Kluyveromyces lactis: one gene and its partners. The protein of the gene in region 3 interacts with the protein of the main gene of each other region in a pairwise test. Links are inferred from orthologs where the notes say so. Each region holds a gene or a part of one and is shown on either strand. Other genes may lie near its edges. The genes, in order: ARC35, BBC1, VRP1 and LAS17.

Region 1 (3,065 bases), on a different chromosome or scaffold from region 3:
TTGGTTCCAGAATGCAAGTTTGCGAACATTGGCAGTATAGGCTTGCCCAGCTGTCATTCCGTTCTGAATTGTGAAGTGGGGTTTGGACAGATAAAGGAAGGGGCAAGGCAGGGCAGTGCTAATTCCAGCCCAAACTTGACCGGCGTTAGTACTCTGGTTAGGCCATGTACCATTTACCTTGTGCCTTACTTCGCAGCTGCAACAAGGGTGAGGAAAATTGAAAATTAAGCTTCTTGAGCTTCTCAAGCACTCTAAAACTGGGACGGAATGGTCCGACTCGGAGTTGCGTTGTTTTTTTTTTTCTTTCCACTCAGGTAGGTTTTACCCGGTCTTTTTTTTTTTTTTTCCATTCCTCTTTGGTTGTGTTAGAACTGACTCAAGGCTCGAGCGTTTATTGCCCAGCAATTGCATGGCATTACGGAGGGAAAAAAATCTGAATAGGATCATCTACTTGTCACGTGATATAAATCGCTACATCGGCAGCATTCTATTTTATACTTTAAACACATTATTGAAACCAATTTCTACTTAGTAGACCATTTTTCTACCGGTGATTGTTCTACGTGAATCGGATTCAGTTTCTTCGTCTAGCTTTGCTCTATTCAAGACCTTGATGAATGTATCAACACGATATCTCATTCTTGAATGCATGTATGCCTTAGCACACTTGATATGGTAATGGAAATAGTTCCTGAATAGGGCAAGCTGTGACACAGATGTGAACATTAGTTCATCGGAGGAGTAGTGACGTGGGAACAATACAAATGTGATGAATCTCCTGGTAGACTTCTTAGCACCTGCAACGTGAGCGTGTTGTTGGGCTACTTCTTGAATTTCCAAAGGTGGTTCATGGGAGAATAGCACTTGAGGCGCAGATTGGATGGATCTATTTCTCTTTCTTGCGTCTACGAATTCTTGTAGGAAAACTTTACCGAAAACTTTGTCAGTTTCATCTTGGAATATAGTTTCGAATATAACAGTGATACGATCAAAGGACGGCTTGATGTATATGTTTTCATCATCTCTGTATTTGATAACCATAGCCCTGGCCTCCTTTGATTTTTCCACTTGGTCTATTTCATTCAATTGAGAAAGAGCATTACTCTGGCCAAACGCTAAATAGAATGGATATGACATTACAAGGATCTTAAACAAAGATGCTTGCACAATAGATTGCGCAGTGATTTGAGATAGATCAACAGTAATGGTAAAATCGTAACCGGCCTCCTTTTTAGCAGATGATAGAGCCAAACCTGGTACTTCATCGAATTTTGCCTGCAAGAACCCTTGTAAATCGTTCCCACTCTCATTACAAGATTGCGTAGCCTTGGTTCTGATGGAAACTAATAGGTTCGACTTATCAGTGCCATCGTTGGTGATGTGTAACGTTGTATAATCAAAGTCGGAGATGATTCTGTCCAAAGTTAAAGGAGACCCATTGTTGTAAGCTTCCAAAGCTTCTGTTAATGTCTTTTGGACCAATAGGTTGTATGGTTTAAGGTGTAACATTATTATGTATTGATATTAGAAGGCTCACAAGTGTTCACCCAGGCTTTTTTTTCGAACAAGTCTATGAGCTTTTCTTCAATTGACTTGGAACAATATCAACTTGTAAGTTTCCTCAACACTGAGCAGGTTTAGTCTCTTCGAAATTTCCCAATTCCTTGCAGATGATGAATCTTTCTTTCTGTTTGTTCCAATAGGGGCACCTTTTCGTTGAAATCGTTGTTAACTAAATTTTCAGCACTTTTCTATGATGGAAAAACCATCCGAACAAAATTTCGGTCACGTGGCCATAAAGATTGAGCAACCAGTAGATAGATTATTCGCATATTTACATGAAGGTCTAGTTTATAAACATAAGTATATATTTTATGTTGATAATTCAGAATATAATACTGTTGGTATCTTACTCCTTTGTTGGTTTCTTCACACCGTACTTCGATCTGGAGCTGATTCTGTTGACAACACCGGCCAAATCACCGGCACCACGGACAACATGATATTTCACACCAGGTAAATCTTGGCAACGGCCTCCACGAACATATACAATACTGTGCTCTTGTGCGTTATGGCCTTCGCCTGGGATATATGCAGAAACAATGTTACCATTGGTTAATCTCACTCTACAAGCTTTTCTCTGAGCAGAATTAGGTTTCTTTGGCTTCAATACCATCACTCTTAGCACAACTCCTTTACGAATCGGGCATACCTCCAAATCTGGGGATTCAGTGATCTTCTTACGGCCAGGAGGCTTGACCCCTCTCTTTATTTGGTTCAACGTGGCTTGTATTGGTGAAGTATATGAGAAAGAACGTTGTTGCAGTGGTGGTGCAAATGCTATGCTTGAACGAACATTACGCAACGATAGTCTAGTCAGACTACTGCTCAATCCGAAAACCTGTTTGAACATTGGTATCTTTGACAGGATTGTTTCTTAAGATCCAGTGCACGTAAGTCAAACTCAGAGTTGAACTTACGCCAACATTTATTCACTGACCGATTGATATAACTCTTTCAATTCAACATTTGCTTCATAATTTTTTGTCAGTTTCTGATGATGAAAAATCATAGTTGAAAATATTCGGAAGTCATGTGATCGAATATGTGTTGTTGCTGATGTCCGGGAAATTGTTCAGAAAATGTGCATGGTTTGAGAGATCTTTTAACCTAAAAGATTTTGTTCATTTCGTTGGGAACACCAGCTGCACTATGCGGGTTCCGAATTACGAGAAAAGTCCTTACTGAGGTAGTTGTTGTATTTCCTATTTTGAAATATCAAACAACTATACTGGATTATGGACGATCAAGCTGTAAGGTGGGTGCAGGTAAATAGGGTGTTTGAACCAACTACTTGAATTATGCGTGATAGAATATTGCGGGGTAGTTTGACTTCCGGGCTCGAGTAATTAGGTAGGCTGGTGTTAAAGCGACTGTCTATTTTTTTAGTTTTTGTATCACGTGCATAAGATCAGATAGTTTTCTCTCCTGGTGTCTGCTGCCGAGTAACAGCCGTTCCGTCACTATTTGGCAAAATGCGTCAAGATAGCCCCATATACGGTAGT
Region 2 (4,427 bases), on a different chromosome or scaffold from region 3:
TAGATGGCAGAGATAGATCCAAATTCAAGGAAATCCTACAAAGGTTGAAGGGAAATGGATCCGCTCCAGGCGCCACTGGTCAAAAATAAGTGCTCTTAACGTTAGAAACGTACGAATCGTGATATATATATATATACGTATGTATACGGGATCTGTGTATAGATCAACATATGCGTAACATTTATATACACACCGACACGAAAAGACTCTAATTAGAAAAGGAACACACGCATATTGATACAAATCAAACTAGGAACAAATCAGTCTGTTTATTAGGCAATTGGGTTCCTGGTTAGATATGAGAGACTAAGGGCAGCGAAAATGATTGGTTTTTGATAATGTGGTATCCTACCAAGTTCTTGAGATAACGTTGATCTCCCCAAGTATTTGAGTAGCTCCCAGTTAATATCTAAATGTTGTGGGTCGCTCAGCAAAGTGAATGACAACATGATGATGATCGATTTATGTAATGGCTTTAGACATTTGGAATGTTGACCGTTGAAGATTAACATCACCACCTGTCTCCAGAGCGTCCATTTTACACATTTGATAAAATTGTCACTGAAGAAATAACCATACACTCGTTCTTTGACCGACCCGCTTGATTTCTTATCGGATAACTCATTTAACTCTTCTAACCTTTGCATGAGTATCCTTGTCATTGAACCATGTTGTGTCTGAGATTCCTTTGCCTCTGAATCGAACGTCATTGAGGAAGTATTCACTTTATTCTTCTTAAGCTTCTCTTTCAAAAGGATGGATTTCACATTCTTATAAGTCTTGACGACATTCCATGCGACAAATAACAAAAGGAAGTCCTTCCAAGGTTTTCTAGTCTCGAATAATATCCTGTATAATCTCCCCTTCGATTGATTTCTGTGGTATAGGATTGGTATCAAGAGACTAGCTGCCAATTGCCTGAGAAGAATCCAACGGCGTTCGCTTATACTGGAATAATCAACCCAGAGCTTGATTTGATCTACAACAGATTCTACAGCCCAGTATGAAACAATCCAATGCGGTAGCTTAGCCTTGAGCTGCGAGAGACCAATCGTTAAACCCAGGAACCAGCTGGCATGTCTTTGACGAATTATCCTTCTCAGTAACGGTATAGCAACAACGATAGGCAAACCATCGAATAATGAACTGGCCGTTAACTTCCGGTGCTTTTTTAACAATGCTATAAACCCATTAACACCAATAACTCCAACGATGCGACGATACAAAGCGTTTCTATCAATTTCCGAATCATAGTCGTACGCTAAAAATCGAATGAATCTCGCCAAACGAGTATTCGAATTCAATGTCATGCCTTATCCAATCAGTCATAAGTTCTGCAACCCTCACCTGCTGATTGAACGTTCATATATGCCTTTCAATTGACGTGAAGTCTATCATTCGTTCGTTATCTACCTTTCGGTGAAATCTAATCCTTTAAAATTGTTTGGAAAAATGTTACTAAAGCCTTTGAAATTAAAACGATTCCTTATATCGCGAACTTTTCACCACCCCTTTAACAAAGAACACTCGGCGAGTGAAATAAAAGGACCAGCTTACTAGAAGAACAGTTCTCGAAACTAGATTACGTGTTAAAGATGTCTGTGCCATTTAAGGTCGAGGCATTGTTTCCATACACCTCAGATTTTGAGGATGATTTACCATTTTCCAAAGGTCAGATCATTACGGTGCTTGAAATAGAAGACGATGAGTGGTTCTTTGGTGAGTTTAAGGATGCTGATGGTAAAACAAAGCAAGGTATTTTCCCCAAAGGTTTTGTTAGTGAACCTTTGAAGGAAACTGCTAGTGAGCCTGCTCAAGAGAAGCAGCCAGAGGAGAAACCAAATGTGGAAACTCCGGTCAAGATTCCGGAAACACAGACTGTCAATCCAAATGCTGCAGCTGCAACTGCACCAGTCCAGAAGGGAAAGGTTTCTCAGGATAATGTCAGACAGTTGAGAAATAGTCTGTCGTTTCAAGAAGGTTCTGGTGATACTGAGAGGAGTGGTTTTGTTAATAGCGATGATTTGGTAAAGGAGGCTAAGTCGGAATCTAAAATGTCCTTGCAGCAAAGGATATCCATGTTACAGCATATGCAGAAACAACAACAGGAACAGGCGGAAACTTTGCATAAGCGGAAAAAAAGTATTTCTAGTGTGTCGTCCCCAACCGGCAGCGTTGCTACTGCTAGTGCAACTTCTCCAGTTAATATTGAAAAAAGGGAAAGTTATGATGCCTCTGTTATTGAAGATTCCGATGCTGAAAATCCAGAAGTTGATGTCAGTACTTCTAGCATTCACACAGCTCCACCAATTCCTAATGATACTGCTTCAATTGGCTCTCACCCTCAGCGTACCTACTCTATTCCTGAGGAGTCAGTTAACGAGAATGACGATCGTGATGATAATGATGAAAATGAATCTTCTGAAGACGAAAATGAAGAGGAACAAAGACGTGCTGCTTTAAGAGAAAAGATGGCAAGACTAGCAAATGCAAGTAGATACGGTATGCCTAATGCGTACTTCAACCCATTTGGAATGCCAATGCCTTCTGCTGACTCTTCGAAGACCCCAACCAAAAGCAAGAAACCAAAGGAAGAATCTGAAAGTCCAACTGAAACGTCATCTCTTCCAACAGCGGTTCCTGTCATGCCATTTGCCGACCCATCGATGCTGCCAATGTTTAGGAAGAAGACTGAAGAAATTGCTGTGGAAACTTCTGGTCATGCCGAAACCCCAGAAAATCAAGCTGACGAAGAAAGCGAATCTAGCTTTGTAGATGGAGTCGATGATGCTCAACCTGCTATTACAGGTTCGGTGAATTACGACAAAGACCCAGACTTCCAACATAAAGATGAAGTACCCGAGGGAAGTCAAGGCCTTTCTGGATATGAATCCGAAGATGAAACTACTAAGAAAGTGGAAGATGAAGAAGAGGAGGCTCCGTCGCCAACTGTTCCTCAAAGAATTAGGCCCACTCATGTTTATACAATTGATACTTCTCCGGGATCCCCACAAACTCCACAAACTCCACAAGCTACTAACGCCCCACAAAAATTGCCCGCAGCCCCTCCAATTCCATCTGCTCCTTCCGTCCCGCCAATTCCAACAGGTGCACCAATTCCTCCTGTTCCTTCAAGCGTACCTGTACCACCATTACCAACAAAGGCTCCAGCACCAGTTTTAAGCGTTAAAACCGAAAACACTGAGCAGAAACTGCCAACAAAACAGCCCGCTGCTGCCCCTGCTCCTCCAGTACCAAGCAGTGGCGGCCCTCCACCATTGCCTCCTTCTAATGCACCGCAACGAAGACCTTCAATTCAGACTATTCCAGGTGCAGCAAACTCATCACCAGCCACTCCTTCATCTGCTGCTCCACAAATTCCGGCCAGTTTCCAGCCATTAAGACGGACAACTACGGCGAAATTTGAACCAGGTACTATTCCAGAATTAGAGTTCTCAAAGCAAAGTACTTGGTGGTTAACTAAGACAGTTCAGGCTGATACTGTTAAACCAAGCAAAGTAAAATACATCTGGGAATCTCAGGATCACATAGTTGAAAGAAGGAATACAAATAAGTTGGTTGTCAGAGATTTCCAGTTCTTGTTCGAAGATTACTCTCAAATTCAAGCATATGTTGTATATGATCCAAAGAATCCAATTGAGACAGCAATTTCCCATCAGGACTATATTCCCTCCTCATCACAAAGTACTGGTAGTGATCTGTTAATCAAAACAATTTACGAAAACAGTAACAAATGTGTTGGTAAAGCTTGTCATTCATTTATTCCTCAAATATTGGGTCCAATAGATAATCTAGTCCCACCAATTGCTCAAAGAACTTACGGTATCACCGTTTTTGAACATGCTTATAACACCGCAATAGATGAAGCTGCGCTAGGAAAATTGGTACCAGGTTTGATACTTGTTGCAAGAAACGCTGAATTTACCTTTGACGATGGTTTAACGTACAGCTTGGGAATAGAAACGCCGTTTGTGGCCATTCTAAAATCTGTGGATCTTGAAACTCAATCTTTATCAGTGATTGAAGAGCTTGGTGGTGAGTGCAAAGTATCTATGTATCCACTTGAAAACTTGACTAAAGGAAAGTTAAAGGTGGCCAAGCCAGTACATCGCAAGGACATTGGTTGGTAAGAATGATACAAGGAAGTAAAACAAATTGACCTCTTGAAGAACAAATGCAAGAACACATATGCTGCTATTTGAATAAATATATAGTATATACAATATTGATTGAGAAGGATACTAAAAAAGTTAAATACATGAATAAAGAAACAACTCAAAACTTGATGTTAAGCTTGTTTCTCATTTTCGAACTTCGCCCAGTAGGGATAATCTGTTTCAAACTCCAAATCCAAACCTTTGTATCTCCAAGCATGTAGATATAGCTCTAACGATTCTGGAGTTGGA
Region 3 (4,122 bases):
TTTAGAGAATAGAATTCATAAAGATGCAAGCATACGACCAAATCTTTCCAACCAACCTGCATGAATCATGTCAAGCCGTACTGAAACTTCTAAAACACCAGAATTTGGACTGTCTGGAAGAAAAATCATCTACGATGAAGATGGAAAACCGTTCGTATTTTGCAACCCTAATATCGAGAAACGAAATAATCGAATTTCAGAAAACTTTTACTAACGTTTATGTACTATCAATCTAGCTGTCGTTCATGCAATACTTTGTTGGACTTTCAATTTGTGACCGGCACTTTGAAGGCTCGGGGAAGCGGCAATTCTTCTGCTTCACCAGTGGCGGATTCCACTCAGTCTCCTGGCTCCGGTGAATTAGCAGCTGGGGCCGCGACAGATATTTCAAATACTTCAGCTGACCAGCCACTGTTGATTCCTGGATCTAAGACATACTCTAAGTCTGGGCCTGCTGATGTCGAAGAGCTAGGCCGTTCTTCTTGGACTTTGTTACATACGATAGCTGCCAAGTATCCGAATAAGCCATCGGACACACAGAAACAAGAAATGAAACAATTTATGACCATATTCTCTCATGTTTATCCATGCGGGTGGTGTGCTAAGGACTTTGAACTATTTATAAAAGAGAACGCACCCAAGGTTGATTCAAAAGACGACTTAGGTAGATGGATTTGTGCGGCACATAATGAAGTTAATGAGAAATTGGGAAAGGAGAAATTCAACTGCGATTTGTGGAAGAAAAGGTGGGTAGATGGGTGGGATTAAGTGTTATACTTCTTCCTCTTCCACTCGTCTAGGAATGCTTTCATTAATATCTTATATAGTTCTTACTCATTATAAAGTCATGTAAATACAGTAAAATCTAATGGAACACTTGAACCTCTGCCACTTGGATATAGTTTTCTTAAGCCCAAGAATTGTCTCGGTTTGGGGAGATCGTTTCTGTTAGACCAATCGAATTTTGAATCATCAATGGTTATTCCACTGTTATTCAGCTTTATTCCGGTCGTATCTTGACTTCCTTCTATTGTGAAATCTCCGACATCTATTTCAGCAGCATTTGTGTAAGGGTTAGTAGATTGAGATGGTCGACTGGCTTCATTACCAGATGAAAAAAGTCTGTGTTTGAAGAAACCTTTTGATGAGGAACTATTTGTGCGTTCCACTTGAGGTTGCTGATTTTGTTGAAGAGATTCCTCTGAGGCTGCGGGTGGAGGTGGTGGAGCTTTGGCAGAGGGAAATGAAGCGGCTTGTGGAGGAGGGGAAGGAGGAGCCGTTGGCGCACCCACTGGTGTATGACTATTCTCACTTTCGATAATGTGAGAATCATCCCTTCTGCTTTGTATTGATGCCAGAAATGGTAATCCTCCGGCTGGAATAGATGGTGCTTCAGAACTTGGGGTAGATTGAGGCAGCGTAGGTGCATTAAAGGAAGGAGTAGGTGGGGCCGGAGGGGCAGGAGGGGCAGGAGGTGCAGGAGGTGCAGGAGCCGGTGGGGCCGGAGGAGCAGCAATTGAAGGTGGAGCAGCAGGAGCTGGAGTTGGTGGAACCGAAGGAGCACTGAACGAAGGAGGAGCCGGAGGAGCAGATGATGAGGGAAGCGGTACCTTTGGAGCGGAAGATGCTGTATTATTCGACGCACCATGTCCTGTTCCTTCAACTACGAATCTGTCATCTCTCTTTCGTTGAATCTCCGCCAGGAATGGAAGTCCTCCAGCTGGGGACGGTGCAGATGGTGGTGGTTGCGGCGTGGACGTTGGGAATGATATGCTTGGAGGTGCAGGTGGGGCTGCAGGAGGGGTACTGATTATGGGAGGTGCTGGAGGTGCTGGAGCTGGAGGTGCAGATGTAGGAGGTGCAGGCGTAGGAGGTGCTGGTGGGGCCGCAGGAGGGGTGCTAATTGTGGGAGGTGCTAGAGGTACTGGAGGTGCCGGAGCTGGTGGCACGGCTATAGGAGGAGCTGGAGGTGCAGGTGGTAACGTTACAGGCGGAGCAGGTTGTGCTTGAACCGGAGGTGCTTCTGTGCGTTGTCTTGCTGGAGGATGTTTCGGAACCGGTGGTGTGTTCATCATGGGTACTGGTGGCGGACTTGTTGGAATTGCCGGTGCTGCCATTGGAGGAGGAGCAGGAGGAGCCGCCACTGACGAATCACCCTCACTTCTCAAAGTCTTTTTACGCTGTGGTCTATTAGAAGGAATTTTTGGGATTGAAGAGCTATCCGGAAGCGGAGGAGCTCCAGATGGAATAGCTGGTGATTTAGAGGAACCCGAAACATGTTTTAATTTAGGGATCCCACCAGCAAGTATATCTCCCAATTGAGGGACACCGGGAAGCTGAGTTGGAGTCGGGATCGATGGTGCTACAGGCGGGACTGCTGAGCTCGATACTGATACAGAGTGGCTCATCGAACTTGATCCTCCAATCGCAGGTGCACTCTTATCCACAGTGTGTGCTTTCTTAAGTTTTGCACCTTTCCTAATATCACTCAATAAGGCATCACGTCCTGGAACAGCCGCTGGGGGTGGGACAGGAGTTGCAGCGGAGCCAGCATTGGATGAATTTCCGCCAAACATAGGCGGAGGAGGTGCTGGTGGTGGAGGTGGACCAGCCATATTATTCTAATTTCTATGTTCAGCAAGTTATCTATAACAAAGTATGCTCAAATCCTTAAGTCTTATAGAACTTTTAGCGGAAACACACTGGTCAATTGGTATCGCTATGATTCTTTTCGAATAACTACCTTAAACGCAGTGGACCCCTATGCACTGCAACAGTTTGTTTCTCTCTGATTTGACGTTTCTTTCATTTTTAAATAGCTAATTGATATCTGGAAGCCTCAAGGATACCCGGACACTACACTTTCCACCCAGACACTACACTTTCAGTTCGGTGCTAAATCAATAATCAAGAAGAATACGGCAATGCAAGACGATTCTATGATACTACTACAGTACGAAGTTCACTGGACCTCTTCATGATTTCGCGGTAGCATCGGCATGTAGTAACTAAATGAGGAACATCGTTTTAGTGGAGTGCCATTCCCAGTTACCAGCCCTATACGAATAATTTACCAATATAATATATTCGGGTAACATTTTGGTATTGGACCTTGTCTTAAAAAAGTTTTCAAAGGCGATCAAGCATCTTAACAACTTACTATGTGAAGAAGGTACTGAAATCTATATATCATGTACACTATCTATAGCTAGTACCACCACCATCGGGGATTGGATTAAAAATTGAGCTAATATATTCCACAGCAAGATGTAATACGTTGTCAATTCTTTGTTTTGTTAGTGACAGGTGTCCTAACGCGAAGTAATGCATTTTCTGTCGTCGTTCTTTTAACTTAGCTAATGGAATCCGTCCTCATAGTATATAGATTTTAAGTGGCATCTTCGAAGATCCGTGCGCAGTTTTTCTTTCAGTGGTGCATGGATTCAAAGCGATGCCCAAATTGAAGATAAATTCACAGCTTCTTGCTGTGTGTTTCCCTCGTTTCTGTGGATTTTCCTCTGTTGAATGCTAAAAAACATCATCACGAATTTTCACGAATGGTTTTGGATGCATAAATAGCGTCCTTTACCCAGGAAACTGGGGCACATCTCTAAATCGTATGGTATTTTGTGATTCGAACCTTGGTTACCCAAAAAGCCTTATAATTTAGTCTCGGAAATGAACTTCTTGCACATGGTTTCGTATTCCAGACTTGTGAGGGAATGTCTTCTCAATCTTTCATAAAAATATCTATTCCGCGATAGTTTAATGGTTAGAATTCGCGCTTGTCGCGTGCGAGATCGGGGTTCAATTCCCCGTCGCGGAGAAGCTTTTTTATTTTTTCGTCACTGCATTCACATTCGACTCAAGCTCTATTAACAACACTCGTTAATTTAAGAGTATCTGTCAATATTGTTCGTTAAAGTTATTTACAACTTTCTATGTAATGCTGATTCAAGCATTTCAAGCAATGCTGGCCCCCACTCGGGTTTACGCTTGTATTGTCCAATTGAATCTTGCATTCCTTTCACTGCGTCACATAAATCCTGAATAACACCTTCCTGTGAATAGTAATCGTTTGCTAAGAACTCATCTTGCAAGTTCCATAGATACGTCTTGATA
Region 4 (4,345 bases), on a different chromosome or scaffold from region 3:
TTCGATGTCAGCTGCAATTGAAGGACAATGCAATAAACCATCGTCAAAGGTGGTTGAGCAAGCAGAAGCAAAATCAATAGCTAGGTTGTCAGGGAACTGGTATAGGAAGGATAAGACGACAACATCAACATTGTCCGAAGCACAATAAGTACCTAACGATTCTTGAGTGCCTGCAGAGGCTTGGCCCCAATACACAGCGACGTTATCTTTAGCGTTTATGTCAAATGCCGAGGTGAGCAAAAGTTGAACCAAAGACAACAGAAGTAAACGAGGGTGAAACATTGTAGATTCTGTTAATACTTTTAAAGGAATGAATGGAGGGTGTTCTCTAATTTCAATACTAGTATCCTGCGAATGTCAGAATATGTAATCCTTTAATAAAGAGTGACAGATTAAAATTTAAAGGCTTGTATAGAGAGATAGCACACGCACACAGGTAAGTACTGTTATGGTAGTATTAGTAATTTTTGATATCTTGTATTTCTGGTGACCAGTTTAACACAATGATTGATAGTTGCATTACTGGTACCTCATCCTGCCATTGTTGTGCCCTTTATATACCAGAAATCACAAAATATGACATCGAGCTGGACCCCAGCACTTGTTTCAAACATTCCAAAGCATGTAAACAAACACACCACAGAAAGCATTCTCAAACACTTGCTCCTGCTCACTGTTTATGTTTACTCTGTTTCGTTTCGTTTTGTTTCGCAACATCCAAAAGCTGTTCCTGTAATATGCTAAAACATAATTTCGTGTCAAAAAAGTGCCTAGGAAAAAGAATTCTTTTTGGAAGAGTTTTACGCTGGACTAAAGAGAAGAAAGCATTTACGTTTAACGTAACTGTAAACAAGACACAAAATGTAAACCCAATCACGCCGCCTGTTGTAAACTATTTCACATCATAAGCACGCAATCCAAACACCGTCCACCTGCAAAAAAAAACCATCTTTCGATGTTTCTCCCTCTGATCTCTTCGAGCATGTAGCTGTTGTTTACCTTTTGAATACCGCATGCTGGTTGCCAAAAAAACCCAGCATAAAGCGATCAACACGTACAAAGTGATTCTGACTTTTGTCAGATGCTGCAGTGCCAGACGGTTCCTGGGTCAGGACAGAAATTCTTCTGCCATTGTGCCGCTGTAACCACGTCCACATGCGTCGGCCAGATGTATCAGTAAACAGAACTCTTAATTTTTCTCCGTATTATGTTCGAATGCGTGTTCGTACTGAAATGCTTCTTGTCTTTCCTGTACCTTGCAGTGACCTAAATGGGCACACTGTATTCCCATTTACAAATGGTCTGTTAGTACTTTTGAATTCAATATGGCAACTTGAACAAACCCCATTGTGTAAAGGTCCTTTTTTTTTTATCTCTCTCGCAGTTCTGTTGGTCCCTTCTTCTTTCACTGAATCACTCTGTGAATTATAGGGGAATAATGCCGTATTAAGAATCGCTTCAACTTTCAATATTGAAAAATTGAAAAGTTGCGAAATGTTAAACAGACCGAAAACTTAAGAACCGTAAATTATAGTCAGCCAAACCCCCCCACTCCCTAAAGTGCATCGCGCGTTTGTGTTATTTTCATTAGAACCCATCGGTAGCTGCCTCCGTCAAGAATTGATTTCAAGTTGAACGAGTTTACACTTCTTTTGAGAAATTAATAATCATAAAGCAGTTGTTTCCGAGTATACTATGGGAGGCTTGAATTCTGCTGAGAAAGAAAAGGTTAAACATGCTTTGCCCAAGGCTTCTAACAAGATTATAGATGTTACTATCGCTAGGTTATACATTGCATACCCTAATCCAGAGAAATGGGTTTATACTGGCTTATCTGGTGCCATTGCATTGGTGGACGATATCGTTGGTAATACTTTCTTTTTGAAGTTGATCGACGTGCATGGGCATCGAGGTGTTCTCTGGGATCAAGAATTGTACGTGAACTTTCAATATAACCAGGATCGTACTTTCTTTCATACCTTTGAATTAGAACAATGTAACGCCGGGTTGTTATTCACCGATATTGGCGATGCTTCACATTTTTTGAAACGAGTACAGAAACGGGAGAAATACGCGTCCAAGAAGACCTTGGCCAACAAGAATGCAATTGCATTAGAGGACCAAATTAAGAAAGAGGAAGAGAGTAAAGTGATCCATGGTCCAAGAGGCGAATCCTTGATCAGTGACCAAAGGGTCAGATATAGATATGAACCGGAAAAGCACGAGCACCGCCAGGAACACCATTACGAGCAGCCCAGCCAGAATTATGCTTCAACTGAAAACTCAGCTTCAGATGCAAGTGCCGCTCCTCCTTCTTTTGCCTCGAAACCACCGCCACCGCCTGTCGAGAAACAACCTCCTCCTCCTGTGAGCATCCCATCTTATAAGTACGACTCTATTCCATCATTCCCAAGCTCTCCTGCACCTCCATCGGTTTCCTCTACTCATTCTCCTACCCCGGATTCATCCTATGCATCAACACCAGCACCAAGTAATCCTCCTCCACCAATAAACCACCCGGTACATGCAGTTCCTCCTCCTTTACCAGCAGAACAATATCGTCCACTGGCTCAGTCACCTCATCCGCAATTCCAGCAGCAGCATAATTCTCCTTCACCTGCAGCACCTCCTTCGATTCCGCCTATGCAGCAAAGCGTTGCAATCCCTCCTCCACCTTCCCATCCAGCTCAACAACAAAACGTCACTAATAACAACACTCCTCAGTTTGGACAATATTCTGTTGCTGGTCTGCAACCACCTCCGAGACCAACTTCAACGAGACCTGGTATTGCTCCTCCAGTTTCGAGGCGTGGTCCGGTACCACCTCCCCCTCCAAGACGCTCAGCTGCTCCGCCGTCCATTCCTTCAAGAGGTCCTCTACCTAATGCTCCAACTGGCGGTCAGCATAGTCGTACTGGAAGAGGGCCTCCACCACCACCACCACCTAGACGTGGTGGCCAGGCTCCTTCTCCACCTGCAAGCAGAGGTACAACTCATAACTCAGCCATCGGCCCTCCCCAGCCCCAGCTTCCACCACAAATGCAATCTCCTCCTCTTCAACAGCATAATACCTACAATGCAGCGCCTCCTGTTCAGCAATATCAACCACCACAGCAAACCGCATACATTCCGCCTCCCCCTGTCTTACCACCCCACTCAGGTGTAAGCACTCAGTATCACCCATCGACCGAGCCTATGTTAGCCCAACCCCAGCATCATATAGCGGTACCTAATGGCACTGCACCTCCCCCAGCACCTCCTGCCCCTCCGGCACCTTTTGCTCCACAGATAACGAACTCAGCGCCCGCACCACCACCACCTCCTCCTCCTCCTCCAGCCCCTGCATTTAATCAACCTGAAGCAGGATCTGGTTTTGTTGAAAATACTGGTGATGCTGGAAGGGATGCCTTATTAGCATCGATTCGTGGAGCTGGTCTGAATTCCCTCCGTAAGGTGGATAAATCTCAACTTGAAAAGCCAAGTCCTTTGTTACAAGAAGTTCGTAGTGATGCGCCGGTATCTCAACCCACAGGCGGGTCAACTGGCGGACCTGTTGGTGCTCCTGCGTCCTTGGCTGATGCCCTAGCTGCGGCTTTAAACCAAAGAAAGAATAAAGTTGCTCGTGACGATGATATAGACAACGGTGATGATTGGTGAAAGTAATTCACCCTACTTGAACTGCATCTGACTAGACTGTGGAATTATGATTTGGTATTTGTATGTACGGTGTACCTATATATTACTTTCAGATGCCTTTAAAACAGAAGACAGATAAAACTAAACTAATTATTCAAAGAACTCCACTTATTTGACCATACCTGTATCCATTTCAACTTGGACTCATCTGAACCGTTTAGCTGTGTAATAATTTTTATAACTTTCTTAACATCATTATTGATAGCAAGTACTGATGTTTCCACTTCTGGATCTACTTCATATTCAGCGTTCACTAAGGTGGATGAAATTAAAGTATCAGAGTTAGAAACTATTGAATTGTGGAGTTGATTTAGCTCAGATAGATATGCTGCTGTAGTTACAGTATCCTTTTTTATGGTTATCGATTTGGATAATGAACTCAACAAGAGCTTAAGGAGACGAGATTTTTGCGATAGTGATTTGACAAATTCAATCATGGATTCTGAAGCTTCCTCTTCCTCTTCTTCATCTAAATCCGTACCTTCCTCATCACTGAACTTGTCATTCATTCCGAATGGGTCTGAATTTATTACTGGATCCTCCAACCACTCTTCTAACTCTTCGATTGAATCTTGTAGAAGCTTCACTGAAGAAGACAAATACTCAGTCAAGAGTCCTAAGTTACCTTGATTTGATAATAACTCTAGGT

What was found.
Region 1: the proteins of VRP1 (region 3) and ARC35 interact in binary tests that used the Saccharomyces cerevisiae proteins (3 or more experiments, as listed by UniProt). The link is inferred for Kluyveromyces lactis from reciprocal best matches to the Saccharomyces cerevisiae genes VRP1 and ARC35.
Region 2: the proteins of VRP1 (region 3) and BBC1 interact in a two-hybrid assay, tested with the Saccharomyces cerevisiae proteins (2 studies listed by BioGRID). The link is inferred for Kluyveromyces lactis from reciprocal best matches to the Saccharomyces cerevisiae genes VRP1 and BBC1.
Region 4: the proteins of VRP1 (region 3) and LAS17 interact in binary tests that used the Saccharomyces cerevisiae proteins (3 or more experiments, as listed by UniProt). The link is inferred for Kluyveromyces lactis from reciprocal best matches to the Saccharomyces cerevisiae genes VRP1 and LAS17.

Annotation. Positions count from the first base shown.
Region 1 is NC_006042.1:670,558-673,622, reverse strand, and holds ARC35 (Arc35p), read right to left. Parts: upstream 1,510-3,065; coding exon 529-1,509; downstream 1-528. Other genes in the region: MRPS12 (mitochondrial 37S ribosomal protein uS12m), read right to left, coding at 1,910-2,413.
Region 2 is NC_006042.1:1,351,520-1,355,946, reverse strand, and holds BBC1 (Bbc1p), read left to right. Parts: upstream 1-1,595; coding exon 1,596-4,151; downstream 4,152-4,427. Other genes in the region: clathrin light chain CLC1, read left to right, coding at 1-89; PEX35 (Pex35p), read right to left, coding at 273-1,310; pseudouridine synthase PUS6, read right to left, coding at 4,310-4,427. UniProt on the Saccharomyces cerevisiae protein: Involved in the regulation of actin cytoskeleton.
Region 3 is NC_006038.1:537,032-541,153, reverse strand, and holds VRP1 (Vrp1p), read right to left. Parts: upstream 2,616-4,122; coding exon 846-2,615; downstream 1-845. Other genes in the region: ERV1 (flavin-linked sulfhydryl oxidase), read left to right, coding at 68-150, 237-768; KLLA0_B05995g (heme-dependent oxidative N-demethylase family protein), read right to left, coding at 3,930-4,122. UniProt on the Saccharomyces cerevisiae protein: Involved in cytoskeletal organization and cellular growth. May exert its effects on the cytoskeleton directly, or indirectly via proline-binding proteins (e.g. profilin) or proteins possessing SH3 domains.
Region 4 is NC_006039.1:433,025-437,369, forward strand, and holds LAS17 (actin-binding protein LAS17), read left to right. Parts: upstream 1-1,695; coding exon 1,696-3,657; downstream 3,658-4,345. Other genes in the region: CTS1 (chitinase), read right to left, coding at 1-282; KLLA0_C04752g (uncharacterized protein), read left to right, coding at 504-908; KLLA0_C04796g (uncharacterized protein), read right to left, coding at 3,783-4,345.